Rattus norvegicus: one gene and its partners. The protein of the gene in region 1 interacts with the protein of each later gene in a biochemical or structural test. Links are inferred from orthologs where the notes say so. Each region holds a gene or a part of one and is shown in the gene's direction. Other genes may lie near its edges.

The links.
Region 2: the proteins of Erbb4 (region 1) and Abl2 form a complex in vitro, tested with the Homo sapiens proteins (2 studies listed by BioGRID and IntAct, with this or other methods). The link is inferred for Rattus norvegicus from reciprocal best matches to the Homo sapiens genes ERBB4 and ABL2.
Region 3: the proteins of Erbb4 (region 1) and Syk form a complex in vitro, tested with the Homo sapiens proteins (2 studies listed by BioGRID and IntAct, with this or other methods). The link is inferred for Rattus norvegicus from reciprocal best matches to the Homo sapiens genes ERBB4 and SYK.
Region 4: the proteins of Erbb4 (region 1) and Ptpn6 form a complex in vitro, tested with the Homo sapiens proteins (2 studies listed by BioGRID, with this or other methods). The link is inferred for Rattus norvegicus from reciprocal best matches to the Homo sapiens genes ERBB4 and PTPN6.
Region 5: the proteins of Erbb4 (region 1) and Nrg1 form a complex in vitro, tested with the Homo sapiens proteins (2 studies listed by BioGRID and IntAct, with this or other methods). The link is inferred for Rattus norvegicus from reciprocal best matches to the Homo sapiens genes ERBB4 and NRG1.

The regions. Positions count from the first base shown.
Region 1 is NC_086027.1:77,008,426-77,014,326, reverse strand, and holds part of Erbb4 (receptor tyrosine-protein kinase erbB-4 precursor), read left to right. Parts: intron 1-1,453; coding exon 1,454-1,551; intron 1,552-3,257; coding exon 3,258-3,428; intron 3,429-5,901. UniProt on the Homo sapiens protein: Tyrosine-protein kinase that plays an essential role as cell surface receptor for neuregulins and EGF family members and regulates development of the heart, the central nervous system and the mammary gland, gene transcription, cell proliferation, differentiation, migration and apoptosis.
Region 2 is NC_086031.1:71,309,334-71,315,234, forward strand, and holds part of Abl2 (tyrosine-protein kinase ABL2), read left to right. Parts: intron 1-2,283; coding exon 2,284-2,457; intron 2,458-2,852; coding exon 2,853-4,576; 3' UTR 4,577-5,901. UniProt on the Homo sapiens protein: Non-receptor tyrosine-protein kinase that plays an ABL1-overlapping role in key processes linked to cell growth and survival such as cytoskeleton remodeling in response to extracellular stimuli, cell motility and adhesion and receptor endocytosis.
Region 3 is NC_086035.1:12,808,945-12,815,543, reverse strand, and holds the start of Syk (tyrosine-protein kinase SYK), read left to right. Parts: upstream 1-2,270; 5' UTR 2,271-2,392; intron 2,393-6,599. UniProt on the Homo sapiens protein: Non-receptor tyrosine kinase which mediates signal transduction downstream of a variety of transmembrane receptors including classical immunoreceptors like the B-cell receptor (BCR).
Region 4 is NC_086022.1:159,215,613-159,221,513, reverse strand, and holds part of Ptpn6 (tyrosine-protein phosphatase non-receptor type 6), read left to right. Parts: intron 1-798; coding exon 799-988; intron 989-1,108; coding exon 1,109-1,225; intron 1,226-1,323; coding exon 1,324-1,437; intron 1,438-1,564; coding exon 1,565-1,661; intron 1,662-1,950; coding exon 1,951-2,030; intron 2,031-2,219; coding exon 2,220-2,369; intron 2,370-4,092; coding exon 4,093-4,224; intron 4,225-4,354; coding exon 4,355-4,509; intron 4,510-5,901. UniProt on the Homo sapiens protein: Tyrosine phosphatase enzyme that plays important roles in controlling immune signaling pathways and fundamental physiological processes such as hematopoiesis.
Region 5 is NC_086034.1:66,809,897-66,816,507, forward strand, and holds the start of Nrg1 (pro-neuregulin-1, membrane-bound isoform), read left to right. Parts: upstream 1-2,745; 5' UTR 2,746-3,142; coding exon 3,143-3,242; intron 3,243-6,611. UniProt on the Homo sapiens protein: Direct ligand for ERBB3 and ERBB4 tyrosine kinase receptors. Concomitantly recruits ERBB1 and ERBB2 coreceptors, resulting in ligand-stimulated tyrosine phosphorylation and activation of the ERBB receptors.

The DNA.
Region 1 (5,901 bases):
GGGAAGAAATAAAAAATGTTCCTTGCAGTGCAGGTCAGCATGCCCTTTTCTCTAAGCATAGTTCTATTTACTCAATATTTAGTTAGGGAGAAACAAATATCTCGCAGTGAAGTTAACCTTTTTTGGCTCTAGTAGCTTTGCCATTAGCATCTTGGCATTAACAAGCATTTTTTTAAATGAATACCCATAAGATGCAAGTGTTTGGGCTTGCGAGAGGAGACACAAAGGATGTATAAGATGATACCCAGAGGATTTCCAAAACAAGAATAAGAATGAACTCCCTAGAAATAGAAAAAGAGCTCCATAGCTGCGTTAGATCAGTCCTGGTTTACCCAGTTACCTGGAAGAGACCTTAAAAACATCCCTACGTTATATGATAATTTGATCCCATCACCAGCATCAGATGTGACTAGAATACCCCAGTGTGATGAGGGGAAGGCAGGCAGACATTTGGCCTTATTAGATAAACCATAGACATGGCTTCACCTTTGTTTTTCTCGCTTCCCCTGGAGAGTTTATGCTTTAGAAAGGGATCACTTGGCAATGACATCAAAGCGAGCTTGGCGCTGTTATTCTTGTCATCTCATCAGCTAAACAGAGCGTAGGCCGTTAAGATCCATTTAATCTGAACTCCCAGATAAAGAAGGCTACCTACCTTGAACACTAGTATTTTTATTCTGGGAAAGCTAATTCTAAGATAAGTGAAATGAGTATTGTTGAACACACATTACAGATCATGTTGCATTTTCCTTCCAACCAGGAACAAACCGGCAAAAAGCAGTTGCTTTCAGTTTCCCCCCTTTCAGTCTTTTGTACCACAGTGATAAGATGGCAAGCAAACACTTTCGTCCATGTACTCTTAATTTCTATCTTAACTTCCATGTGTTCTTTGTCTACCTCTGTAGCCATCAAAGAATGCTTTATTGTTTTATTATCTTAATACTCTGAAGCAAGAAAAATAAAAATCGGAGGTTTTAAAATTTCCTAGAGTTATCCTAAAATCTATTTTTCTAAGCCAAAGATTGAGTTTGAATCACAATGAAAATTTGGGATCCTGTAGACAAGGGTCAGCGGTCAGGAGCTTGTGATGCTCTTGCAGAGGACATTTGTCTGGGTTTCAGTGCCCAAGTCAGGCAGCTCTCAACCACCTGTAACTCAAAGCTCAGGTGAGCCGATGCTCTTTTCTGGCTTCTGTAGGCACCTGCCCCTGTACACATACCCACACAAAAAACATAATTAAATGATTTTTTTAAATTGTTAATTTATAGTATCTTGTATTCCATGACCAATGTCAATTAACCGAGTTACAATCTGGTTTGCTTCCTTCGCTAGTTTTGTTTTGCAGAATATTACTAAAACTATACACACATAGTTGCCCCATAATTACCCAAACTTTAACCTCACTTTCTCCAAGCATAGATGCACTAATAGTTTATTGCGTCTTAATCTCCAGGTTGGATGATCGATGCTGACAGCAGACCTAAATTCAAAGAACTGGCTGCTGAGTTTTCAAGGATGGCTAGAGACCCTCAAAGATACCTAGTAATTCAGGTTAGTTGTTTTGATGCTGCTTTTAAAACTCTAATAACAAACTCTATCTAAACTTTACAATGTTGAAAACATCCGATAATAGAATGACCATGTGAAAAACTTGTGGATTCGTGGATCTGACTATGGTTCTATGTATGCCTAGGAGAAAATTCAGGCTCAGAAAGGTAAATGCTACCTATTCTCTCTCATCTGTAAAACTTACCCGTCTACATATACACATACACATGGTATAGGCCACAAAACTAGAAAGAGATCATTAGAAAGGAAAAAGAAGTTTTAAGGGAAAGGTAAATTAAGAAAGAAGCTAATAGAATACCTATGACATTTGAGTAGCCAGGGGAGAGGAGTACCAGAAGGTCATAAACCAAAACAATATATGTATGAATATTTTATCATAATGCTATAACAAACCCATTTCTTCATATATTAATTTTAAAAGTCCATGTGGATTGTTTTATTGGGCGAGGGGTATCGTCTCCAAGCAATAACTCAATTCAGATGAATTGATGCCTACCTAAACCATAGAACAAAGCAATAGGTATTTTGCATTCAACATCAGGAACCCTATGGATTGGCTCATTTAATTAATATAATAATGTCTCAGTGCTTAGTTTCATCTAAAGCAGAAGCAGTTGTACCTTGAAGGGTCTTAATTCTTCCTCACTGAGAAGAGCATTTACCTTTCAGTAGACTAAACATGAAGAACAAAGCCAGACGTTAGAAGACAATCATGTCACAAACTGACACTCTTTACCAGTATAACAAATTTTGAAAAAGTGAAAGTATTTAAGGCATGATAAATGGAACAAACCTTAGCAGAGGTCGTATATGTTTTCACACCCACATATGCTCTATATGTCACTGTACTATGATTTTTAAATGCCATCACTTTGACAATGATGCCATTATACTACAAGGTCGACCATGGATGTCTGTGTCCTGACTAAGCAGAATAGTGCAAACGTATTAATTTAAAACTGATATGTTGATGGTCTCTTATTGTCGATTCTTTTTTTTAAATTTTTCCCATGATTTTACATAGCTTTATTGCACACTTATTTTTATGGATATTTTATGTATTTACATTTCAAATGTTATCCCCTGCTTCTATGAAGATCTTCCCACTCCCATCCACCCATTCCCATCTAACCACCCTGGCATTCCCCTACACTGGGGCATCGAACCTTCACAGGACCAAGGGCTTCTCCTCTTATTGATGGCAGACAATGCCACTCTCTGCTACCTACGCGGCTAGAGCCACGGGTCCTTCCATGTGTACTCTGGTTGGTGGTTTAGTCCCTGGGAGCTCTGGGGGGTCTGGTTGGTTGATGCTCTTCCTATGGGGATGCAAACCCCTCCAGCTCCTGTTGATTATTAATCCTTACCCCTCCTCGACAGTGAACTGTTATTTTCAGATCTGAAGTGGAACTTCCCACACTTAAAATGTGCACAGCACCTGGCTGTGTTCTTTTTCTTGCTGTTCTTAAAATCATCGCATTCTTCTACTCCATTTCTGTGTCATCCCTTTTACTATCTAACCATAGTACAGGATTCTTTTTGGATGGTAGTTACGTTAAGACTGTTGTTTTAAATAAGCACATGAGTGCTCTAGCCGTTTGCCTTTCTAGCGTATAAAATGACTAGTGAAACCATGAGTTGTGGAGGAAGGAATAATGGTTGTGGTTATCTCTTGGGCAATCTTTCAGGGGGATGATCGCATGAAGCTTCCCAGTCCAAACGACAGCAAATTCTTCCAGAATCTCTTGGATGAAGAGGATTTGGAAGATATGATGGACGCTGAGGAATATTTGGTCCCCCAGGCTTTCAATATCCCACCTCCTATCTACACATCCAGAACAAGAATTGACTCCAATAGGGTAAGAATAATCATACACAAGTACCATGATACTTCTGAGAGACAAATTGGTATGCACTGATGGTGAGGCATAAAAGTTTCCATAGAAATATACAGGGTTAGTCATGATTCCAGTTTCTGCCTGGCTAAAGAGTGAGATCTTGTCTCAGCAACTAAACAAAAGAAAAACAATTTAAAATAAGAAGAAAGAAGAGAGGGAGGTAGGAGGGAAGGACCGCACTTCCAGACCACGGTTTACTTTTCTTTGTACTGAAAAAGAAAATATGTAATTGCGAATCAACCTGAAATATTTTATGGTCCCAATAGGAGCAGATAACATAAAGCTTTAAAATTCTAATTCATAAGCCAGGTGGTGGTGGTGCACACCTTGAATTCTACCACTCGAGTGACAGAGGTGGGAGGACCTCTGAATTCTAGGTCATTGTGCACTACAGACTGAGTTCTAGTACACCCAAGGCTACACAGAGAAAAAAGAAAAACAACAATGACAACAACAACAAAAACCTCTTTAGAAAAAATAATTCCTAGGTAGATTGTGAAGATCAATCTTTGTGGGAAGTATGACAGTCTGGGGTATGACTGGGGTCTTCCCTGCTCTCTCTATATAGCAAAAATGACCAAACATCACTAGATAAAAGATAATTCATCACTTTTTGGGTCAATAATTGATTTTCAAGGAAAGTTCTATTTCTTAAAGTGAAATTCCATCGAGATATGGTTTTATTTTTCTATTTTATAAGGATTCTCAAATTCTTAGGTTTTGTTCATTTTAATTTGTAGTGCTTAATGCAAGGAATTCTTAATAACATTTTGATCTAACTAAACAGAACTAGACAAAGCAGGAATCTCATGGGAAGTCCTTGACCTTTAGTCTTCTTCTCTTGTTCTGCATTTTGATTTGCTACCTACAAACTTTTTTTTTTAGTTGTCAGTGTCTGGAAAGTGAATTGTACTTAATACCACTTATTTTGGGAGCATAATGACTGTGTCTGTGCATGCACACACACACACACACACAAACACATACAACACACACACACACACACACACACACACACACCAGGTTGTACCTGTGGAAATTCAAGGATACGCTCAGCTGGTATTTCCACCATCCATCTTATTTCAAACACGCTCTTTCATCCATTGTTGTGTGTGCGAATCTTGCTGGCCTGTGATTCTCCTCTCTCCAACTCACCTCTCTCCTTAGGAGCACTAAGATTATAAACTCATGCCGGTGGGTCTGGCTTTACCTCTGTTCTGTGATCCCAACTTGTGCTTTCACAGTAAATACTCTGCCTACTGAGCCATCTTTCCGGCCCACAAAAGATCATGATCATTTATATTGCCCTAATTTAAATATCTGGTTTCATAGAACTCTTATTTCAACTTATAACATGTTACAAATATTATTTCCCTGTTTGTCTACAGTGTTGCTACATTATTTCATAATTACTTCAACTTTAGTTTCTGTGGTCAAGTTATGTAATAAGGAACAATGTTTAAAGTGAATAAGGATAGAAAGCTTAACATACTTGATAAATCTTTACTAGGAAGTAAATACTCGGTTTTTAAATGCAAAATGCACACACAAACGTGCATGTATGTGTGTGTGCGTGTGTGTGTGTGTGTGTGTGTCTGTGTGTGTGTGTGTGTGACTAATGTTCTGGTTCTTTCTATATCATTATTTTCTCATTTTTAAATTAATACAACTGTACCTATCTATATGAGTGACAGACAATTACGAATCACATTTTCTCTAGTGAATAAGCATTAATAAACATTAATCTCTTTAGAATGAGACAATATTTATGTTTACTTTTTATTTATCATAACATAATTACAGATACATTCTCATTCGGCTTGCTACTAATGACAAGTCTGTTGATGTGTTTACTCTTTAATTCTGTGTATGTTTCCCTACATCAAACAAATGATAGCAGTCTCTTCTGCAATGTGCTAGGTTGTTCGAAATTTCACAAGGGGGTCAGCAAGATGTTTCAGCAGGGTATGGGACTTGCCATTAGGTCTCATGAACTAATCTGTATTCCCAAACCTACCTACAGGGTAGAAAATAACTTATTCCTGCAAGTTGTACTTTAACCCCCATACATGCACTGTGGCTCATACAGGTCTGCACACAGGAAATAAGCGAATTTTAAAAATGTAAACTTTAAATCCACATGGATTTTGTTAAATTATGACCTTCAGATAATGAGTAAAGTAATAATACAATGCTGACATTTGTCCAGACTGCTAGCAAAAAATAAAATTTAAAACACTAGACAATCGTCATCTAATCTATAACTGGTGCTATTATTATTAGGTATAACTGCAGAATGATCTTAAATATTTTTTACCAAAATAATGTATCCATTGAATGTACTCTAATATTATGTTAACAAGAGAACATAAAAAGCCACTTAAGTTCAGCAATCCTTAGGTTTGTTTCTACATCCATAAACAGGGTATCTAGG
Region 2 (5,901 bases), on another chromosome or scaffold:
ACACAGGAAGAGTGTGGGCACACGCAGGAAGAGTATGGGCACACACAGGAAGTCTATGGGCACACACAGGAAGCTGCTTGATTTTGTATGTAGTGTTCTAGAGATACCTGCAGAAGTCAAACAGGTTGTAGAGGCACCCCAGTTTTCTCAGCACTCAGTGAGTCAGGAAGAGCCCAGGTTCAAGGCTATCCTGAGGTATATTATGAGACTAATAAAGCTAGTTATCTGCCTTTTTACGGTAAGGAGTGAGACTCTGATCTTGGAGAGCGAAGAATATAGAATTCTTAGTTTCATCTGCCTATTAGATGCTGTGATACAGTTCTGAAGGTTTTTTTTAACAGATTTTTCCTTCCCTTCATAACTAAGTAGAATTGATCGTTCAATTTCAAGTTTTAAATGTTAGAAGAAATCAAGAGAGTTGAATTTTGTTTTCCTCTAGTGATTTATCACAAGATAAGAAGAAGGGGGAAATGGAAGTACAATATTGATATTTCTATAAAAATATATCCATCCTTCTTCCCTCAAGTTGTCCCCTACACACAGACATACACATTACATAAATGAATACATACACATAGACACATAAATGTAATTAAAATTCATCAAGTGGTAACAAATTTGTACAATTTAATTGACTATTTCACTTGTTTGGGAAGAAAGAGTAGAAAGTATATTTTTGCCTCAGTAAAAGCCACAAAATTCGGGGTTGGGGATTTAGCTCAGTGGTAGAGCGCTTACCTAGGAAGTGCAAGGCCCTGGGTTCGGTCCCCAGCTCCGAAAAAAAGAACCAAAAAAAAAAAAAAAAAGCCACAAAATTCATGACTTAGTTAGATCAGCCAAGGGGAACCAATTGAATGAGTGTTGCTTTTTTTTTTTTTTTTTTTTTTTTTTGTTCTTTTTTTCGGAGCTGGGGACCGAACTCAGGGCCTTGCGCTTCCTAGGCAAGCACTCTACCACTGAGCTAAATCCCCAACCCCGAGTGTTGCTTTTATAATTAGGTTTTGTTTGTTTGGTTTTTGTTTTGTTGAGTTTAGAGTTTTGTTTTAATTTTGGTTCTTGAGCATGAACCTGAGGCCTCATGAGAGTTAGGTAAGCACTCCAGCCCTGAGGGACGTCCCAGTCAATAGTCAGGCTTCTGTTTCTCCTGTTGTCGTTGGTTAGTTGGTGTATGTGTGTGGGGTGAGGGGGGAGAACACTGATTTTTTTTTTTTTACTTGAATGAAATGGAATAAATTTATCTTACTCTCCTTTTTAGTAAATACTGCTTCCCCAAAATAGAAATCTCTACAGACCCGAGTCCCTTTTATTTAGCACCTGAGTTATCCAAATGCTCAGTGAGCACGTAAGCCATGAGGGACATCACTTGCCAGCAGGAAGTACAGATCAAACCATGAGATTGCCACGACATGCCTGCATTCACTCCCATGAATGAGCAAAAGTAAAGTTAGGTGCACTATAGAGTAACAGCCTCCAACTTTGACAATCCAAGTAAGTAACATTTACACACCGGTCCTGTGGGCGCCACTTGTTATGGCTGTTACATTGGTCAGAGCCTGGTGAAGATCAGTGTGCACCCCATGACCTATCCATTTATATCAACTAGATGTGCACAGAAGTCCCTGAGTCACAGAACAAGTATCATATTTATAATAGCTCAAACTGGGAACATCCTATGTAAACACCGAGAGGAGGACAAATGAATTTTGGTAGTCTCACACATCAGAATATTTCATGGCAACGAGAAAGGGATCCTGCCACATGCAATGAAAAGTAAACCTGCAGGAATAATAGTTATTATTATAGTTAGTGAAGTGTTTGAATTCAGATCCCCAGCCACCAAGTGTGAAGCCAGGCGTGGCAGCACATACCTGTGTGTGGGAGCTGGAAGTAGGAGCTCTCTGCTGAAGCTGAGCTCCAGGCTGGCGAGGGACCCTTTTCTAAAGGGTAAGGTGAAGAGCTGTTGGGGAAGAGGCCCGGCATCAGCCTCTCCCTCCATGGGTGAGGTCACACATAAGACTTCATACGCTCATTTCATTTCTATGCTTTGTATAATTTTGTTGTAATTTTCAAGATGACATTTTGCTAAGGCTGGTCTCCTATTTCTGTGCTGAAGAGATCCCCCAGCCTCAGCCTTCTGAGCAGCTGGGACTATAGCGCAGCCTGTACACCCATCTGCTTTTACGAACTTCAGTATTCAGCTCTCTGCTTTTCTTTTTTCAATTATATGCCTTGGTCTCTGTCTTAGAATTCTTTTCTTTTTACCAGACTTTGTCTTTTTCACAGAGGTAGCTGAGGAGCTTGGGAGAACTGCCTCCTCCTCATCTGTAGTTCCATACCTGCCTCGACTGCCACTACTTCCTTCCAAGACAAGGACCCTGAAGAAGCAGGGGGAGAACAAAGAGAACCTAGATGGGGGCCTTGATGCCTCCGAGATCCTGGCCTCCAGCTCAGCACCAGGTAGGAGGGGGCAGAGCAGAAAGGGTAACCCTTGAAGAACAAAGGACCACAATGCTACTTGGCCTTGGGTCTGCATTGCCAGTGTGGGCAGTTTTATCCAGTCCTATGCAGTCTGCTACCAGATCTGTTTGTTTAGTTCCTGGCTCCTAGGTAGCTACCCAGATGGGTGATGGTGTACACCTATCTTCTATAGAAGGGACAAATACAGAAGAGACCAGCAGGTACTACTGAGGCACTAATGTACAAATCACGGCTGGAACACTAGTCACTGAGTCAGTGACTTATTTGTGAACTTCCTGAGTAGTGCCAACATCTGACATTCAAGAAATGCAGACGGAACTTTCTAAGGTAGTCACACTAACTGGCTTTTCTGTTACTAATTGGCCATTTCTCAGCAGGGTTCATTAGAAGCACCCAGGCCTCCAGTGGGTCCCCAGCTCTGCCTCGAAAGCAAAGAGATAAGTCACCCAGCAGCCTCTTAGAAGATGCCAAAGAGACATGCTTCACCAGGGACAGGAAGGGAGGCTTCTTCAGCTCCTTCATGAAAAAAAGAAATGCCCCCATGCCCCCTAAGCGCAGCAGCTCTTTTCGAGAAATGGAGAATCAGCCCCACAAGAAATATGAACTCACGGGTAACTTCTCACCTGTTGCTTCTCTGCAGCATGCTGATGGGTTCTCTTTCACTCCCGGCCAGCAAGAGTCGAATCTGGTGCCAGCCAAGTGCTATGGGGGGAGCTTTGCACAGAGGAACCTCTGTGGTGATGATGACAGTGGTGGGGGTGGGGGTAGTGGCACTGCTGCGGGTGGGTGGTCTGGTATCACAGGCTTCTTTACACCTCGCTTAATCAAAAAGACACTGGGCTTGCGAGCAGGTAAACCGACAGCCAGTGATGACACTTCCAAGCCTTTTCCAAGGTCAAACTCTACATCTTCCATGTCCTCAGGGCTCCCCGAGCAGGATAGGATGGCAATGACCCTTCCCAGGAACTGCCAGAGGTCCAAACTCCAGCTGGAAAGGACAGTGTCCACCTCTTCTCAACCAGAAGAGAATGTGGACAGGGCTAATGACATGCTTCCAAAAAAATCAGAGGAAGGTGCTGCTCCAGCCAGGGAGAGACCAAAAGCCAAACTATTGCCCAGAGGAGCCACGGCTCTTGCCCTGAGAGCCCCTGATCCAGCCATCACTGAGAGTGACTGTCCAGGGGTAGGGGTGGCTGGAGTGGCAGCTGCCCCCAAAGGCAAGGAGAGGAATGGTGGGACGCGGCTTGGAGTCGCTGGAGTCCCAGAGGACGCAGAGCAGCCAGGCTGGTCTTCTCCAGCCAAGGCTGTAGCTGTCCTCCCAACCACTCACAACCACAAAGTGCCAGTCCTTATCTCACCCACTCTGAAACACACTGCAGCTGATGTGCAGCTCATTGGCACAGACTCTCAGGGGAACAAATTCAAGCTCTTATCTGAGCATCAGGTCACATCCTCTGGAGACAAGGACCGACCCCGACGGGTAAAACCAAAGTGTGCCCCACCCCCGCCACCAGTGATGAGACTACTGCAGCATCCGTCCACATGCTCAGACCCCGAGGAAGAGCCAACTGCCCCCCCTGCAGGACAGCACACTCCAGACACCCAGGACGGAGGAAAAAAGGCAGCTCCAGGGCCAGTGCCCAGTAGTGGGAAACCTGGGAGGCCAGTGATGCCTCCACCTCAAGTGCCTTTGCCCACATCTTCCATCTCGCCAGCCAAAATGGCCAATGGCACAGCAGGTACTAAGGTGGCCCTGAGGAAAACCAAACAGGCAGCTGAGAAAATCTCAGCTGACAAAATCAGCAAAGCGGCCCTGCTGGAGTGTGCCGGCCTACTGTCCAGTGCAATCACAGAACCTGTGCCCCATAGCCAGCTGGTGGACACTGGGCACCAGCTACTCCACTACTGCTCAGGGTATGTGGACTGCATCCCCCACACTCGCAACAAATTTGCCTTCCGAGAGGCTGTGAGCAAACTGGAACTTAGCTTACAGGAGCTGCAGGTGTCTTCCACAGCTGCTGGTGTGCCTGGGACAAACCCTGTCCTTAATAACTTATTGTCATGTGTACAGGAAATTAGTGATGTGGTGCAGAGGTAGCCATTGTCAGCCTAGTGGGGAAATGCACATTCTGAGGGGAGAGGGAAAGGGACTTGTTTTCCTGTGTTCTCGTTCTCAAACAGTGAAAGACTGATACTTGAGTGTGTTTATGTGAAGTACCTCAGACCCCTGAGTTCTCACGTTTACAGGTTCATCTCAGAACAGCAAAAAGGAAATCACATAAATAGATAAAGTGAATGTGGTGGGGCAGGGCAGTGTGGACACAGTTGGAAACTGCACTGGAAAATAAGCGAGCATCATGCATACATCATAAAAGTGCAGCCCTCCCTCTCTGGAATGGCCTGTGGCCTCCATTGGGCTGCTCTCAGTTGTGCTGCATCATGAAACAGGCCTTGACCTGGCAGGTCCTGGGGGTTATCACGTTTCAGTTCACCCTGCAAATCTGGGGAACAGGAGAGAGCAAGTGAGGGATGTAGCAGGCGCCGTTTTATTCAAGGCTAAAGAAGTGTCTGTTGGTCTTGCTTCCACGGACATTGCTGTTATAGCAAGAACTGCAAATTAGATTACCAGAGTACTCAACTGGGAAACATGACCCTATCCGTCTGCTCTGTCCTGTTTACCGTGGGTGTGTGAGTTGGTGCAGAAAGTACAGAACAAGGGTGAGTGTAGTCAGATGGACACCTCCAGACTCTCCTGCTCATCAGCCGTCACGTCTCCCACTCTTCTGGCATATTACTTGCTAGTGGGCCAGTATCCACCTGCTGCTTATTGTCAGCTGTCTGTAAGCCATGGGCAGAGGGCGTGGTCTTGGTTCTCTGCCCTTTGCTGGGCTGTCTGTCCTCCTCCATTCCTGGCAGCATACATACCGGGCATTACCCAGCATCCATGTTGAAAATAGTGCTCACTACAGGTTCTCATAGGAGACCTTCTAAGCCCCTGAACACTGACATAATGGCCACTTAGGCAGCTATACATATCCTCTAGTTATACAAGCACATCCAGTACCTTTTTGAAACTGTGGCTGGCCTGGGGACCTGGGACTGAGGAGCTCACTCCATGTGGCTGCTTGTACCTTTGCCCTCCTTAATACCTTAAACCCGTCTGGGTGGACGTAGGGAAGCCATCTTCACTGAGGGCTTGCCTCCACTGATTCTCAGCATTCTCTCTCTTTGCTCACACATCATCCCCAACCCCTTGTTGCACTTGGAGTTTGTGTTGGGAATATACTTCATTTATTTTCTCCTTTTATCTCTATGTTAAGAGTGCATGGTAGGAGTGGGTTATTTTCAGGGAGCACCAGTTAGGCCCATAAACCTAAGGGTTTAACCTGAGAATCAGTTTTGCCCTTCACAAATGGGCATTTC
Region 3 (6,599 bases), on another chromosome or scaffold:
GAGAAGAAGGTTGGCATTGGACAGCCTGAGAAAGGAAGTCCACATGTAACAAACCAATCCAACGTCCACCTTGAACCATTTCCTTTCTCAGGCTGTCAGATCTTTATGATAAGAACTTTCTAGAGGTTGGTCAGCGCTGGGATGGATAGCACCCCGAAACATCAGAAGCTGAGACAGCAAAAAGCTGTAGTTAATACACCCAGCTCACTGGGTTATTATCATAAAGATCTGAGAAAGAGGCCAGGGAGGGTGCAAACAATAAGTTTGCAAAGCACCTACATCCTGCGTAGGACATTTAAGTCCAAGGCAGAGCACAGGGTTAGAGCTATACTCCAGCGGCGAATTCCCCAATGGATTCTGCATTTCAGAACCCTCCTCACTTTCTGGGTCACTTATGGGACAAAAACCTCTACATTGGAGAGGGGCCAGGGCTTAAAGGAAACAGTTACATAATAACAAAAGGGCCAGACATCTAAGGAGATGTAGCAATGTGAAAAGTGTGCACAGATCAGCAGGGCATCAAAATGCATAAGGTAAACCCTGACAGAAATGGAAGACAAAGATGAAAGAGACAAAGCCAATATTATGGTCTGGATTTTTCAGTTTCTCTCTTTCTATAACTGATAGATCAAATAGAAAATCAATGAAGAGACCAGAGCAACACTGTCAACCAAGCTGACATTTGTGAGATTTTTGACTCTATCAACCAAAGAAGGCATTCCTCTCAAGTGCTCAAGGAATATTTACCAAAATAAAATGCACGCTTTGGAAACCCATTAATTTCACATTTAAAACGCCACATAAATTGTTTTTAGAAGACAAAAAATTATACTAAATGTATTGTAAGAAAAAATTATCTGGAAAATGAAAAATGGGTTTTTATATAACCCGCGAGTTGATAGAAGTCTCGAAAGAACTCTTAAAACATTTTAGCTAGCATGCAAGTGAAAATCCAAGGCTCTGGAGGATTAGTTCTGCAGTTACACTTGGTGGATCTTACAGAGGACTCATGTTCAACTCCCAGCACCCCACTGACACCTCACCACTGTCTGTAACCCCATTCTCAAGGTATCTGATGTCCTCTTCTGACATCCATGGGTACTAAACACATGCATGATTTGCATACATAGATGTAGGCAAAATACTCATATGCATAAAATAATATATATGATATATATATTAAAAAATGAAAATACGGTTGACAAACATTTTTTTCAAATGATGCTAAAAGTAGTGCTTACAGGGAAATCCCCAGCACTAGGTCCATTGCTATAACAAAATCCCCGAGGTTAAGTACGTTATAAAGAAAGGGAGTTTAATTTGGCTTAGCAATTTAGGGCTTAAAAGCCCAAGTTCAGGCTGTCACATCAGGTGAGCCCCTTACATTACATGCCATCCTGGCAGATGGCACCAAATGGAGGAAGGCTGAGATTGACAATGGCTTTGGACGTGACCAAATTGGTTGAAGATAACAATTCATTGTCAAAGTAACTAACCCAGTCCACCAAGACGTAACTTAGACCTCTGAGATAGCCATTAATCTTTCCCAAGGCAGATGCCTCAGTGAACTCACTCCCTCATACCAGACCCCACCTCTCAAAGGTTCTGCCCCTTGAATATGCCACACCTTGGCCAAGCTTCTAGCACTCGAGCCTGCGATTGGAGCACCCAAACCCTGACGATGTATCATTCAAAGGGAGTGTGTCAACTCAGTCACCTATAATTTGAGGCGAGGATGCTCTAATTATAGCAAAATAAGTTTTATAAGGATTACAAAGAATTATAGTACATTAAGCCTAGGCCTCAATGGCAAAAGGAAGTAACATGAAAAAAAAAAACTCTGAAGCTAAAAATAGGAAACTATAAACCAAAATGAGCAAACCCCATTTTGAGTCTTTAAAATTATCAGCTGAGTTAGTAAATCGTCAAACAAGGTGTACAGTAAGTTGACGAGGACAAAAATTGGTATGGCACACAGTTTTAGCCAGGATGCGTAGGGAACATGTGAGAGTCGGTGTGCCCATCCTGGTTGAGAACGACCATGTCTACTGATCCTCCTTCGGCTGGAATGTGTTTGGGAATCCCTGCCTTCCAACTGTAACTTCATTTTGACTATGAAATTACCGAGCACCGCCCTCTCCCCTCCTCCCCGACACACACATACCCTCTCACTTCTGCTTTCTGGCTGGTCTTGCTTGCTGACACTTTGAGGAAAAGCCACTTCCCTAGTTGCAGACACCACTTAGCATCAGGGAGCCTCCACTTGCTCTCCTCTCCTTCCCTCCGTCTCTGTGGCCACCCCCATTTTTAAGCCTGCCAGTTTGGTCCTTTCCACGCTCCATGCTGCCTGGTGCCCGGGAGCCCAGGCCATCTGCGACTCCAGGACAGGAAGGTAAGTCAGATTTGGGCAATCCATAATGGTGACCTCATGGCTCCCTGCACCATGGGCGGGCCTTAGCGAGCACGCCGATATCTGAGTTCGATATCGGCTTCCCCGGCTGATACTGTGCCTGGGCTACACCATGCCCTGGCCGACTTGTTTGCTGTGGAGGAGTTGACAATTACTGCAGTTCTCACGAGGCAGAGCCATCTTTCTTCCCCCAAGTACATAACCGTTGGCCCTATCTTTAAACACCGGGGTTAATTTGCGTCTCTAGATACAGCTGTGAAGTCTCGGGAGTAATTCCACTCTAATTTCCCGGAATATTTTACGGGCCTGAATTTCAGAGAAACCCAGGTTACCTTGAGCAGGTGTGGCATGCCCTTTGTGTCGAATTTGGGTCGTTTGGCTTTCCTAGAGGCCTTGAGGGCCCTGTGCGTGTTGTTCTTGTGAGGTGGGCGGATGGGGAAGTAAAATAGTGCCTAATCGCCAGCAGCTTCAGCCAGGCCCCCACGGCCTACTGAAACGGAGTCTGCCGGTCACAGTATCCACTGTGGCCTCAACCCCAGCCACCCAGCTGGGATTCCCTGGGATGGGGCTTGAGGGGGGAACCAGAAGAATACTGTAACTTAGCTGTTCACCTATCCTGGATACTTTGTCTCAAGATAATGGCAAGGAAAACTAAAAGACAATTCTTATCATGAAATGTCTGGTGCTTGGTCAGTTGTTGCTATTTTATGTGTGAGTGTATGTGTGTATATGTATATACCTGTATGTATGGTGTATGTGTGTATTGTATGCATATATGAGTATATACCTGTATGTATGGTATATGTGATTGTATACATATGTATGTGTGTGTATGTATGTGTGGTGTGTGTGTATTGTACATATGTGTATGTGTATACACTTTTATGTGTTTGTGTGTGGTATATGTATATATGTATATTCCTTTATATGTATGTGTGTGTTGAATGCATATATGTGTATATACCTTTATGTATGGTGTATATGTGTGTAATATGTACATATATGTGTTTATACCTGCATGTATGATATGTCTGAGTGTGTGGTATATGTATATGTGTATATATGTATATACCTTTATGTGTATGTGTATGTGGTATATATGTGTGTTGTATGTATATCTGTGTATATACCTTTATGTGTGGTGTATGTGTATGTGAGTGTGGTATGTACATATATGTGTATATGTCTCTCTGTGTGACATACATACATATATATGTGTGTATATATACATATATATACATATATATATGTATATATATATGTATATATATGCCATCACCTGAGCAGGCAGAAGCTTGGACCTGTAAGTACTTTCTTCCTTTGTTCCAGAGTCATCTGCAGGTAAAGTCAGCCAGTCACATAAGTACCAGTGAGAACCAGGGTCCGTGGAGTCCTGGCTAGATCATGGCACCTGAATTCCAAAACTTTCTTTTCTCTACATGTTGTCAGGGAAGCAGTGCATTCATGCTCTCTCTGGTGCAGTTGCTTGCTGACTAGCTTGCAGTATCCATTCAGCAGGTCTGTCCAGTGGGTCGGTGTTTAAGATTTAACAGTTATATAAACAGGGGCTAGGAGATGGCTTTGTCTTGTCAAGCAAACACAAAGAACTGAGTTCTTTACCCAACACTGGGGATTTTAGAAAGCTGGATGTGCAGAGAGGTGGGTGTAATTCCAGTGCTGGGGAAGTGCGGAAGAGGCAGATACCTGGGGCTTGCTAGCTAGGTGGCCTGGCCTCCTTGGCTAGTTCCAAGCCAGTGGGAGGTCTCATCTCAAAAGCCAAAGTGGATGGCATCTGAAAAACGGCATCCGAGATTGATCTCTGACCTCCATACACATGAATACCCACTCATACATGAGCATGTACAAAAAGAAAATGTGCTTAGGTGAGCTGGTTGCCTGTTCGTAAGTAAACAGTTAATCTTCTGTGGACTACAGGCGTCCTCTGTGACTTGTGCTAATGTCATCCAGGTAGGCATAGAGACCAGCTTAGAGGCTTGCCTTCAAGATCTGAGGATGTCCAGCGGTCAGCCGAGAGGAAGTCAGCCTTTTCTGATGTGGGGATTCTCTACTCTGAAGCTGCCTCACACCAGTCTGGTTTTAAAGGGTCAGGACAGGCTCTTGTGCATTTTATTGGCCCTCTATTTCTGAATGACGGTGGGCATCAAGCTGGTCAGCCCTGCCTGTGATTCCTGTCTCTGAGGTACAGGCATATGCATTCTGAGACATCTCCTGTTACCTCCCGAGCTGCTGCCAGGATGAAACATGGAGGTGCTCCTCAGATAATAGTGTGGCCCCTCCTTGGGAAGCTAGGTGTCTGTGCAGTGTGACATCCAGTCAGCGTACAGGAAGTCTGGGGGACAGAGCTCCTGTAAGATAGCCTCCCAGAGGACAAGCCAATATCTGACAAGAAGCTGAGGCAGCTGCCCTCTGTGGTTCAGACCCAGGGCCCTCTGGGTTCCATTCTTCCCTGCTTAGGCCCCACGTTTGGGCCCATGCGTTTTCTTCATAGTGAGATCTCCAAGTAGAAGCCCTGTGAATGCTCACAGCTCCAGGAAGAGCAGTTGCAGGCAGTTAACTGCAGATCTCTGTGCCGTGGGGCGGCCTGTCACCAACCAGCCTGACTGGCCTAGTGAGACTGACTCTCCCTCCAGGCTGGCCTCATTCCTCTTTTTTTATGAAAATTAGCATAGCGCCCCCCCCCCCCCCATCCCCAGAGGAAGTTTTTCTTTTAAATGAGGTTCTAGCATTTAATTACTCAACTTATGGCTGCAAGGAAATTTCCCAGGTACACTTGAGTGGGGCTGTTTTGCATTGGAGTGGCCATGTGGTTTCAAGTGAGAGAAACCTGCATTTGCATCTTCCTGATTTTGTTTTCCCTGTGTGGCCCAAAGTGGGCAGATGTTACCTTTGGCTGGTATTTTCCCAGAGAGCTGTTTCCCCCAATCACAGACCACAGTGCACCTAGGGCTCTTGTGGCCCCTCGATGGGAGAACCAGCCATCTTAAATGACTAAGAACTGCTGTCAGTGCCCCACAGGGAATGGGATGGGGTAGCTGGAAGGGGAGGGCAGCCTCATCTGCAGAGGTCATGCTTTGGTCTCCAAATGGGCCGAGGCTAGTCAGAGAAAGGAAACACGACACGGGCTGCCTCTTCTCCTCCAGTTCATGTTTAGCTAGGAAGTGTGGGAAATAACTCTTAATAAATATAGTTGCGTATAGGTGAAGATAATCTTAGCTTACAAATAACTGGTTTTTTCAAACCTGCCAAGGCAGCATTCTGGGTCTTTTCAAAGACCTGTGGGGAGAAGGGTGGACATTGCTTAAAGCCACTGAACATTTGTTCATGGATTCCTTATTTAAGGATTCACTGTTTCTTGATCCTGGGGGGAATGGTCCAGTCAGTGTGTTGCCTTGCAAGCACAAGAACCTGAGTTCAATCCCATGCACACTTACAGAACAACAACAGTAGTAGCAGCCATGTTGGTTCACACCTCTCAGCCGAGGTAGGAATGCATGGATCCCTGGGACTGCCTGGCCAGCCTCGCCTGTTTGGAAAGCCCTATGTCAGTAACAGAGCCTGTCTCAGAAAACAGGACAGCTAAGGTTGACCCCTGCTGTGCGCGTGCACATATGCATGCCCACACAAACACATACACACATGCACACGCACACATCACGTCACATCACGTCAATGCACATGTACACATGCATGCATGCACACACATACATGCGTGCACACAGGCACACACACTTCACTAAAATGTATTTGTAACCCTCGTCAGGTATGGCACTCTGTCATTTGTGGACATGCACTAAATGATTCCATTCTGTCTCTGTGAGAAAACCCTCTGACCAAAAGCAACTTGTGGGAGGAAAAGGTTTATTTGGCGTACACTTTCGGGTCACAGTTTGTCATCGAGAGGAGTCAGGGTGGAACTTAAGCAGGAACCTGGAACAAAACCACATAACAATGCTGCTTGCTGCTCACTTTCAGACTTGTGCTTATCCAGTTCTCATATACAGCCTAGGACCACTTGCCTAGGGATTGTGCTGCCCATGGCGGGCTGGGCCTTCCCACATAAATCATCAATCAAGAGCATCTCTAGTAGACTTGGATGCAGGCTAATCTGACCCAGACAATCCCTCACTCGAGGTTTTAGATGACTGCTTGTTTGTCAAGTTGACAAGAT
Region 4 (5,901 bases), on another chromosome or scaffold:
TGTTACATTTTCTTGTGTGCCATGGCCGCAGGTAGAGATCAGAGGACAACTTGTCAGAACTGGTTCTCTCCTCCTCCATGTGGGTTCTGGGGATTGAATTCAGGTGGTAAGCTTGTCCACAACCATTTTTCTCTCTGAGCCATCTCACAGGAGCTGTTTCATATCTGTCTTCCCATCTGTCTGTCTGTCTGCCTGTCTTTCCTTCTTTCCTCCATCCCTTTCTTGTTTTAGAGATGGGAAGTTAGCTTTCTTTTGGAGACAGCTTGTAGCTCAGGCTGGCTTGGAATTCACCATGTAGACCAGGCTAGCCCCAAACTTACAGCGATCCTCTTGCTTCTGCCAACCCAGAGCTGTAATTACAGGTATATATCACCAGGACTGGCTGTTTGTTTTGTGTCTGAGGTAGGGTCTTACTGTGTAGCTCAGGCTGGCCTGAAACTTAACATGTAGAGCAGGCTGGCCTCGTTAAGACAGTTCTTCTGCTTAGTCCACTGAATGCTGGATTATAAAAAAAATGAACCGTCATTCTCAGCTATTTGGTGAGCTTTAAAGGTATGTTTGTGTAGATCATGCTGGCCTTAAATTTACCACTATCCTCATGTGTCCTGAGGGGCTGGAATTCCAGCTCCAAATCGGGATTACAGCACAAAGTCTGGCTTTTCCTCTCAGCATTTTCTGAGTTAGTAACGGATCTGTGTAGTGGTGGATTTGAAAGCTTGTAATTCAACCCTGGCAGATAGCAGGTGTCTGCGCTCGCTCTGGGGCCTGGTCACCATCTTTGCAATGTACTTTCTCCAGGTGGTATCATGGTCACATGTCTGGAGGGCAGGCAGAGTCACTGCTGCAGGCCAAGGGCGAGCCCTGGACATTTCTTGTGCGTGAGAGTCTCAGCCAACCTGGTGATTTTGTGCTCTCTGTGCTCAATGACCAGCCCAAGGCTGGCCCGGGTTCCCCGCTCAGGGTCACGCACATCAAGGTTATGTGTGAGGTGAGTTAGCTGGGCTGTGGGGAAGGCCTCATGCTGGAGCATCAGTGGGTTGGATTTAAGACTGGGGGTGCCAGGAGGGGGACTCAGCCCTGAGGGGTGACCCTATTTGGTGTCCTTCAGGGTGGACGATACACTGTGGGTGGCTCAGAGACATTCGACAGCCTCACAGACCTGGTGGAGCACTTCAAGAAGACGGGGATTGAGGAGGCCTCAGGTGCCTTTGTCTACCTGAGGCAGGTGAGGAGCCAACCTGCTTGCCTCTTTGTCTGAGCCATCAGAGACGTGGCTTTCTGAGGTCTCTCAGCCACTGATTTCTTGCCCTCCCTTACCCCCAGCCTTACTATGCCACTCGGGTAAATGCAGCAGACATTGAGAACCGGGTCTTGGAACTGAACAAGAAGCAGGAGTCAGAGGACACAGCCAAGGCCGGCTTCTGGGAGGAGTTTGAGGTGTGTCTGGGGACAGCAGGGCTGGCATAGATTGCCCTCTTTACCTGCCTCTGACACGGCTCTGACTATGGCCTCTGCACCTGTGGATGCACCCGGGGGCGGGGGACTCAGTTCTCTCATATTTCAGAGTCTGCAAAAGCAAGAGGTAAAGAACTTGCACCAGCGTCTGGAAGGGCAGCGGCCGGAGAACAAGAGCAAGAACCGCTACAAGAACATTCTTCCCTGTGAGCACCAGTAGGCCTGTCTCTCACTGCCCCCTGCCCCATTCCATCCCCACCATCCAGCAGGGCTCTCTCCCCAAGGCAGCCTCTTCACTTCCTAAGAGCCTCCCCACAACTACCAGGCAGTAACTCCCTCCTTGCCACGCCTTGCTCCCAAAGCCTCTACTCCCATTTATCCCTCCCTGCTGTCCTATCTATGAGTCTGTGGCCCTGGAGACAAGGACAGCTGTTGGCTTGGGAAGGGTCTTCACCCAGGGAGTGGCCCAAGCTGTTCATTCTCTATCCATGCCAGTTGACCACAGCCGAGTGATCCTGCAGGGACGTGACAGTAACATCCCAGGGTCTGATTACATCAATGCCAACTACGTTAAGGTGACTTGGGTGACCTCTGTGGGAACACATGTTGGTCTCTGAGAGCTCCCTGGGGCTTGGGGGTCTATGGCTACAGATGCCTGTGAGGTTGGATCTGATCTTATGTGGGGGTGATGGCGGGTGGAACAGGCACGCCCACTGCCCAGAGACTCACAGTCTGTGGTGGGATCTCTCTGTGCTTGCACCCAGAACCAGCTGCTAGGTCCGGATGAGAACTCTAAGACCTACATCGCCAGTCAGGGCTGTCTGGACGCTACCGTCAATGACTTCTGGCAGATGGCTTGGCAGGAGAACACTCGTGTCATCGTCATGACTACCAGAGAGGTGGAGAAAGGCCGGGTAAGGCAAAACTCCACCTTCCTGACCCTTAAATTTTCCTCCTCGGTCTTTGCTCACTCGGTCCAGACACAAGCAAGATCAGGGGCTTGTGAGATGGCTCCAACAGTTAAACGTGCTTGCCAACAAGCCCGACATCATGAGTGCAATCCTTGGGACCCACATGGTAGACGAGAACTTTACTTCTGCAAGTTATCCTCTGACTGTCAAGTGCATACCACAGCACATAGCATACAAGTACCCATATGTCTACAGTCACATACATACACACACATACACATACATACGTACGTACATACATACACATACATACCTACACATAAACACACACATTCACACACATACATATGTACATACATACACATACATACCTACACATAAACACACACATTCACACACATACATATGTACATACATACACATACATACCTACACATAAACACACACATTCACACATACACATGCATACATACATACATACATACACATACATACCTACACATAAACACACATTCACACATACATAATACACATACATACACACACACACACACATATACACATATACACACAATACATACACACACATACATACACACAATAAAATGTAATTCTTTTTTAAGGGCAAGACCGGATGCCAATATAGAATAGGACATCAGTGACAAAGGCCCAGTGCATTTTGGGAAACTAAGGCCTGAGATGGTCTTCACTATACACTGTGACTCCTAGACACCCTGCCCTCCTGAGCACCATATGTTCGGCTGTGATGATATAGTCCAGTGGTAAAGCACTTGCCCAGTAGGAACCCTGGGTTTCATCCTCAGCCCCTCTCTTTAATGTGTCCCAGGGCACACATTCTTCATACATCCTCCCCATCCCCCCATCCTCTCTGCCTCTTACTTGGGTTTGAACCACACATAGCTTAGTACAGTTTCAGTGGTCACTGAATGGATTATAAGGTAAGGTGGGTTGATCAGATCCCGCCTAGCGGTGGTTAGCCTGAGGCCAGGTCCCAGGTCTGGTTCTGAGCTGGCTCATGTACTCTTTTAGCATCCACAGGGTGGGGGTGGGGAGGAGGCTCAGTGGTTAAGTATTTGCCATGAAAGCATGAGAATGAGAGCCCGGGTCCTCAGAAACCCTTGTACATTCTGGGTGGGCAGAGGGCGGATACCTACGATTCCAGCTTTGGAAGGAGGATACAGAAGACTCCCAGAGTGCACTGGCTCGCAAGATTTGCTATATTGGTGAGCTCTGGGTTTGAGTGACACACACTACCTCAATGAATACGGTGCAAGAGAGATGGAGGATGACGTTGGCAGTCATATAATGTAATTCTTTTTTAAGGGCAAGACCGGATGCCAATATAGAATAGGACATCAGTGACAAAGGCCCAGTGCATTTTGGGAAACTAAGGCCTGAGATGGTCTTCACTATACACTGTGACTCCTAGACACCCTTATATAAGGCAGTCCCCTTATATCTCCATGTGCACACTATCTCCTGTGTATGTATCTGTACACACATGCACACCATCCTTCCATGTATGTATTTGTACATACATGTACACCATTCATCCCCCATATATGTATCTGTACACACATGTACACCCCCCCACATATATATCTATATATACATTCAAAACCAATATTCAGGTCTATGTCTTGGGGCCCAGAAGGAGCCCCAGGGCCCTGCCTCTGTGCTTTATCCTTTCCCTCTCTCCTTTCAGAACAAATGTGTCCCATACTGGCCTGAGGTGGGCACTCAGCGCGTCTATGGGCTCTACTCTGTGACCAACTGTAAAGAGCATGACACAGCAGAGTACAAACTTCGAACATTGCAGATCTCCCCACTGGACAATGTGAGTGTCCCCAAGCTCGCCCATTCAGGAGCCTTTCCTTGATTTATTTTCTAGTCTGGGGGGGCGGGGAGGACAAGGATGAGGATGTCGTGTGGGAGCACCAGGCATTGCCTCTTTGTCCTTGGCCTAGGGGGACCTGGTTCGGGAGATATGGCACTACCAGTACCTGAGCTGGCCTGACCATGGGGTTCCCAGTGAGCCTGGAGGTGTCCTCAGCTTCCTGGATCAGATCAACCAGCGGCAGGAAAGTTTGCCTCACGCGGGGCCCATCATTGTGCATTGCAGGTGAGTTAGTGTAAGAAACCAGCAGCTGGGGGCTACAGAGATGGCTAAGAGGTTAGGAGCTCTGAGCCACTCGCTCTTCCCGAGGACCTGGTTTGATTCCCAGCACCTACAAAGTGACTCATACTCTTCCGTAACTTCAGTCCCAGGGGATTCAACACAAGGGCCTACAAGGGCGCTGTGTGCACTGTACACACACGGTGTACAAACACACATGCAGGCAAAACACCCACACGGGCACAATTAAACTAACAGACAGGAGAACAATGCTGAGTCAGCACGGTTGGTTGCTAGTGGCAACCTGTATAGGGACTCACCGAAAGCCTCCCCTGACCCCTGCTTCTGGACTCCCCCACTGCTCCAGGCCTGAGGGTGGGCCTGGCTTGAAGTAGCCTCAGCCATCTACTCCCTGCTGCCAGATACAGATACAGAGACCGACTCTGCGCTGGCCTGGTCACCAGCTGGTAGCAGGGGAGCCTGGGCAGTTAGAGCAGGGTGCAGACTTGCCGCTCTGATTTCCTTCTCAGCCACCTTCTTCACAGCTTCCACTGGGGTCAGTGTGGGCCTAGCACCTCCCCTGTTGCTATTTAGGCTCTGTGGCTGGGTAAGAGGTGGTTGGCTGAGAGGTTAGCGGGAAAGGTCCTAAAAGGAGGTGGCTTTGCTTTGGTTGGTGTAGGACAACAAGTAAGGGGTCTTTGACAGAGGCCACTTGCTTATTACCAGCTGTGTGACCCTTGGGCAAGTTACTTAACTTCTCTGACCCTTGGGTTTCTCTTCTCAGTACTCATTGCTAGGTATAGTGGAATAAGCCTACAGTCCCAGCATTTGGGTGGCTGAGACAGGAGGATTATGAGTTCTCAGCAATACAAGTACGGATTTCTCTGGTTTTTGGGGTTTTATCCCCTATCGCCCCCATCCCCTCCCCCCAGACAGGGTTTCTTTGTGTAACAGCCCCAGCTGTCCTGGAGCTCTGCTTTGTAGACCAGGCTGGCCTTGAACTCACAAGAGATCTGCCTCCTTAGTGCTGTGATTAAAGACCTTGTCTTTAAAAAAAAGTTTCTGTGTGTGTGTGTCTCTGTGCATGTGTCTCTGTGTGTCTCTGTGCATGTGTGTTTCTGTGTGTGTCTCTGTGCATGTGTGTTTCTGTGTGTGTCTCTGTGCATGTGTGTTTCTGTGTGTGAGTCTCTGTACATGTGTGTGTGTGTGTCTCTGTGCATGTGTGTTTCTGTGTGTGTGTCTCTGCAGGTGTTTTTCTGTGTGTGTGTCTCTGTGTGTATGCGTGCAGCTGTGTTCCTGTGTGTGTGTGTGTGTGTGTGTGTGTGTGTGTGTGAGTCTCTGGGCATGTGTCTGTGTGTGTGTGTGTGTGTGTGTGTGTCTGTGTGTATGCATGCAGCT
Region 5 (6,611 bases), on another chromosome or scaffold:
AACTTGCTTTTATAGTTTTTTTTTTTAAAAGAACACTTTTTTTTTTAAAAGTCCTTAAGCCCGTTCCAAGGTATTTTTTTTTTTGTTCTTTTTTTTCGGAGCTGGGGACCGAACCCAGCCAAGGTATTTTTAAAAACACAAAACCATTTCATTTGCTGCTTAATGACCACAGAAATGAATAATTTAAGGACAATTTTCAAGTCTTGACAAATTTCATAAATAATTTAGCTACCAAAGAAAATGGCTTCTTGGTTAATCTTTCGTTTGGTTGTAAATCACGTAGTAAAATACACTCAAGAAGTTAACACAAAATAGCATAGAGAATTAAGAGTTGAACAATACATTAGTAGGAAAAAAATGGCTTTGCGGTGAATTTCCTGCTAATTCAGCTTCAATTGACAATAACACAGGACTCCAGAATCTGGGCATACTTCTAGGAAGCAGCAGTGAAGTTCAAGTGGCACTCTATTATGTGTCTTGAAAGTTCTGTCAACACCTACTGCTGCAATTCTTGTGTCCGCTTCTCCCCCTCTCCCATTATCATCGAACCAAGTTAGGAAAAAAAATCATGTAATGCTAGTTACTCTTCCTTCCTCGTCAAATCCATCCTTCCTCACCCCCACAGTTTCCATGGGAACATGGCTGGTATTTTATTCTGAAGTTACTGGAGCATCAGTCATTTTTCTTGGTTAAAATGGTTTGGAGGTTTTTCACCTGTCACAGTGGTTTCATTCAAACAGAAAAATTTCAGGAAGTGTAGTCTCCTTTGAGCCTCATGGAGATACTCCCACCACTAAGAAGGCATTCTGGGAAAGTAACATATTCAGACCCGGAACAAGAGATAGAAGTTGGTGTTCTTGTAGCCTTGGGTTTTGATTACCCCAAGTATTTGGGAAGATCTTACATTTAGTTTTTAAGTTCCAAAGTGCAAGTTTGTTTTCCGGTCCTTGGGTTCTAAAATGCTGGTGTTTTGACGACATGGGGTTAGTAAATCTCAGCTCTCTAACTGCCTCACATCCTCCAGACAAACAACCCTGTGAACTGAAAAGGTTTCTACTCTCAGCTGCTTGCTGCCCCTTGCTGGCTGAGCAGTGGCCCCTCCTGGGAAAACGGAGTTATTCCGGCCGGCTCTGGGGCCACTTCCCCTCCACTCTGAAAAGCTGAGCAGTGCTTTTCCTAGAGTCAGAAACTTTCCTGGGGTTCTGCTGCTTGTTTGGCACAGGGAGATTGGTATGTGGTATTTGCTGGAAGGCTACCAAGAGGTCTGGACGCTAAAGGTTTAGAATAAAAAACCATGTCAGTACTATAGAGATATCGTAACAATTGCACCCATCTCACAGAGTTTGATTCTTAGTCCTGGGAACGTTAAAGTAATATATAAATGATTCTTAAGACGATTTAAGTGAACACCTTGCCCACTTCCCTTCCCACCCATGTGTGAAAGGTGTACTCTGGATTTCACCTTTCTTTAGATCATGGCAGCCAGAGAACACAGAGAAAGCTGTAGACAGCAATGGGTCTGTTAGTGTTAACTCCAGGAAGTCAAAAGGAAGGAGCCAAATCACCCTGAAAGTGGGATAGCTGTAGAGTATTGATCGTTGGTGTGAGCTGTTTCTCAACCACAACTCTATACCACTGTAAATGAGCAGGCTAAGTTGGCCACAAGTGTGTGTGTTGATGACAGTGTCTCTACACGGAGACCAATGTGAATCACTTCTTGGTGCGGACTACTCTGGCCTCTGACTCCTCCTCAGAGTTCTCTACCTGGATACAGGAAAACTAGAATTCACTAGCAGTTCTCAGAAAGTCTAATAGGGGTGTGTGTGTGTGTGTGTGTGGCATTAATGAACTAAAGATCTGGACTACACAGTTCATTGTTCTACGGTCCCAACTCACTCCCTCACTCGAGGATCTGACCCTACCGACACACCTTAGACTCGTTACTGTCGATGGTGAATTATGGCTCATTAGTTCTTTTGGAAATTAAGTTGTAGAAAGAGATATCTGTGCTTAGGAAGAAGCTAGAGTGAGTATTTAAAATGGAGATGGGAAATCCAATAGTCATGCTATTAGGCACAGGAAGGCAGACACGTGCTCAAGTGGCTGATGGTACATCAGTGCAAACTGTTCATGCTTGAAGTTCACAGAACCCTTCCTCAGTACCTCAAACTCCGTTCCACCCCAGACTGCACCTTCGCCCTTAGTGCCAGAGAGAAACTTCCCTAAAACAGAGAGAAATGAACTCTGAACCCTTCTGGGAAATAGCAATTGTTCCTCCCCCTCCCTGGGATTCCAGGTCTCCAGAGCAATCATTGTGGAGCAGGTGCTACAGTTACAAACTTTTCTCCATCTTCCACCCTTCACTTCCCCTACCACGCACTTTTCAAGGCTTGGATCAGCTCAGCAGCCTGCCAGGGACTGCTAGCACCAGCGTCCCTTCCAGGGCTCTCCAGACTGCTCCGTTCGGTCTGGCGGCGGCTGTGGCAGTGTCAGCGCAGCTTCCAGCGACCCCTGTCGGGAGTTCCCGGCAGCCGCTGGGCTCGGCCGCCCCCAGCTTGGCCGGGCTGCCAGAAGAAAGGGGCTGAGCCGCGATCGCCCAGCTCAGGCTCCTCCCGGTGGCGTGTCTGCGCCTCGGGGTGGGGGTGTGGTGGGGAAGAGGGAGGGGGCGAGGCGAGGGGAGGGTGCGAAGGAGGCGCCTGCGTCCAACCTGCGGGCAATTGAAAAAGAGCCGGCTAGGACTTCCCCAAAACTTGTGGGAACTCCGGACCGCGCGGGCAGCAGGAGCCGAGCGCAGCGCAGCGGCCGCAGCTGCCGGGAGATGCGAGCGCAGACCGGATTGTGATCACCTTTCCCTCTTCGGGCTGTAAGAGAGCGAGACAAGCCACCGAAGCGAGGCCACTCCAGAGCCGGCAGCGGAGGGACCCGGGACACTAGAGCAGCTCCGAGCCACTCCAGACTGAGCGGACGCTCCAGGTGATCGAGTCCACGCTGCTTCCTGCAGGCGACAGGCGACGCCTCCCGAGCAGCCCGGCCACTGGCTCTTCCCCTCCTGGGACAAACTTTTCTGCAAGCCCTTGGACCAAACTTGTCGCGCGTCACCGTCACCCAACCGGGTCCGCGTAGAGCGCTCATCTTCGGCGAGATGTCTGAGCGCAAAGAAGGCAGAGGCAAGGGGAAGGGCAAGAAGAAGGACCGGGGATCCCGCGGGAAGCCCGGGCCCGCCGAGGGCGACCCGAGCCCAGGTGAGTGCCAGCCGCTCCGCTGCTCCCAGGCGGGCACCTACTCTGGTCCCGTGCGTCCCTGCTCAGCTCTCTTGGCGCCTGACCCGGTCCCCGAGCTGCGGTGCGGGGGCTGCCTCCACCTGGTGCCCGTGCGCTTCCCGCACCCCGAGCCTGCTGGTCATCCCTCCGGGGCCCTTGGGGTCGGCTGTGCGCCGCGCTCCCGGGCTCTGCCCTCGGTCCCCGCGTCAATCGCGGAGCCCAGCCCGGGAGTGGGGCTCCGATTGCGGGATCCCTACGGGCTGCGCGTGCCCTGCGGCCCGAGGACTTTGAGCGGGCCGGGTCTGCCCTCTAGCGAGAGAAGCGGGAACCGGCTCTGGGTTCGAGAGCCTGCGCCCCTCCGCCTGGGCCCGGGCTGCGCGGAGGGTGGTCGGGGAAAGGGTGGTGTGGGCGCCCGGGCGTCCGCGAGGTGGGCGGAGGGAAGCGGTTGGACAGCCGCTGTGCGAGCCTAGGATCGCTCTGATTGCGTGCGGCGATAGAGAAAGCCAGAGCGGCTGAGAGGGATTCCTAAAGGTCAGCGAAGCACGCAGAACCTGACCCGGTGCCAAGATTCAGGTCCGCTCTGAATAAATTTGGCTTCAGCTGTTGAAGTTTTCAGGGTTGCCCTGATAAAAGATGGCTAGTTTAGTTTCCCAAGAGACGTCAGAAAGGAACAATTTACCCCAGGTTTTGAACCCCATTGCTTACCGATTATATATGGAATGAAAAAGGGGTGGGGGGAGTTAAGGTTTTTTTGTTACCAGATCTTTTTAATCCACCGTCGGAGCGCAATCTAAAGGCCACTGCCACCCTAGATATCTCAAGGGAAGGCTATTACATTGACTTGGTCAGAAGAGGTATAAAAGGTCGCCTGTGACCAAAACTTGTCAGAGTTATTAAATAGATGCTTAAGGGGTGGCGCCTGAGAGGGTCTTTACCGTCCCTCTGCAGTCCCCTACAGTGGATCTGGATGCCTTGTGACTCTTAGAGCATCCCCAACACACATTGTGAAGTACTTCAGGGAAATTAACAACACTTGTGCAGTCTGTGCCTAAAGGAGATAAGCAGAAATATCTGCTCCGTGCAGGAAGAAAACAAACCACATTTTCTTAGTGCGCTCCTTGGATTCGCTCAGCATTTCAGAACCTGGGTTGTTGGCAGGGACCCTAAGTAAGGTTTAGAACAAAACAGAAACCGAACAGAGAGTAATTGTTTAGCCACTGGCCCGCTTAAAAGGCGCTGCTGATCTGTTTCACCTTAATTACCCCGCGTGAGCCTTCCTGAAGGTAGACGGATGTTTTCCCAATATTTACTGTATATTTTGGAGATTAACTGCAACATTGTACTCAACAAAGTACGGAACAACAGGGATCTGGGTTAATGTCATCATAGTATGTTAAAGAGACCCAGAATCGTAAAGGTATAAAGAACTTTCTGTTTCACTTGTCACCACTTGTGGCTTTTATCAATGGTTTGCATGGGCTGGTTAGACCGGTGGTTCTCAACCTGTGGGTCGCAACCCTAGGGGGGTGCGAGCCAAAGGACCCTTTCTTTCTGAGGGAGATTCATAACAGTAGCAAAATTACAGTTACTACGTGGCAACGAAATAATTTTATGGTTTGAGGAACTGAATTAAAGGGTTCAAGCGTTAGGAAGGCCTGAGAGCTTAGTTGCTCTCCTGAATTGAGATGGGGTGGTGGCTTGACTAGGTAGCGACTCTTTCAGTAGCAAGCTTTATCTCTCAACTAGGGCGCTAAGTCCACAACATACCTCAGATGTTTTAGTGAAGGCAGTGGTTCAGGTGGGGAGAGGTTAGACGTCTCAGGGCTGTCTGCAGCCTTGACTCACCTGGTGGGCATCCGTCTCAGGGCTACCTAATGTTCTTAGGGAAGTCTAGAGTTTCTTCTCTGGCTCCCTTGTGTATCTGTAGCCCCACAGCTGTGACTCTAAACCAGACTCCATGATATATTCTTCCCCGTTTCCCAGAAACAAATTGGGATGATGTCTGTGGGCTAGATTTTAGTTTGTTTCCTATCATGATATGATTGGGGGTAGAAGGGGTGAATGGAGAGACACTTTGCTCCCTCCAGAGAACTTTTTTTAACCCCCTTTAGGATTCTGTCAATAGATCAAACCAGATTAAGAGCATTTATTCTTTTGGTTTGCAAACGGTCACCTTGAAATTTGCGTTACGTAGAAATTCAGGGCATTAGATTGTCTTGCTTTGGATATCACTGTTTCTGCCTTTGCCTTGTCACGCTTCCTTCTAATGGTAAGTCCCAGTCTGATTTTCCCTATTGAAGAAGATGAGTAGCTGTGATTTGTGGGGTAAATCCACGCTTGTTCTGGTTCTGGATCTTCCCTCTGGCCCATGAGTCCGAGGAACCGTCAATAGCCTTCACATTTGCCAGGTAGTCAAATTTAGGATTTGCAAGGACAACCATCTCTTGAATTGTTCCTGGGTGTCACCCTTTCCTTAAAGCAACCAATGGAGTGCTACGTGTGTCCTTGGCAATGCAATGCTGAGCTTTTCACGCCAGTTTTTACCACAGCGAAGATGACTGAGGGTGCTTAGCCCTGCTCTGTACTTTATCAGACGCATAGGCATGTGGGTGGGAACTCTTCAGGAGAAAAACACCCTGTAAACTGCTACATTGACAGATGTAGTGGATGATTGTACAGACCTGGCTGTGTTTCCTATCTGCATTATGAGGTAATTAGCCAACACTGGACTGCACACTGTTGTGGCCGCTGATGTCCAATAGGATGATCTACTCTGTGATGGTAGATGTCACAGGTCCCATGTCTTTGAGGTCACAGATCTTCTTTGTTCAGAATAAACAACCTAAGGAAAATCCTGGGTTTTGTGTCACAGACCCATGTATCAAGGGTCCCATAATGTCCTGAGCCTCCTGCAAGCTGGCACTCCCAGATCCTGCCTCTGACTAATTCACTCAGCTTCGCATGTTCCTTTAGAAGCCCGAATTACAAAACTGGTTTTTCTTTTATCCTATCAGTTTGCCAGTTGACTCGAGACCTTCCTTAAGACTGCTGACGTTTTCCATATGCTGTGCAGTATGCTTTTGGTCATTGTTTTGACTCTTAAGTGACCTGTAACAAACCTGTTATTGTACCTGTCTCAGATCTAGAACTGTGGGCTGTTTTTTCATGCCTGCTGGAAGGGGTATTTGTGAGTGGAAAACTTCAGAAACTTAGTATCCCTAATAGACGCAGGCTGTGCACGCCTCGAATGATATCATCCACCTGTTTCCTTAACTAAATGGCTCCAAAGGCTGAAGTGCCTTGTAAACGTTCTTGGAAATAAAGTGCCCCGTCACTAACAGGGCAGTCTGT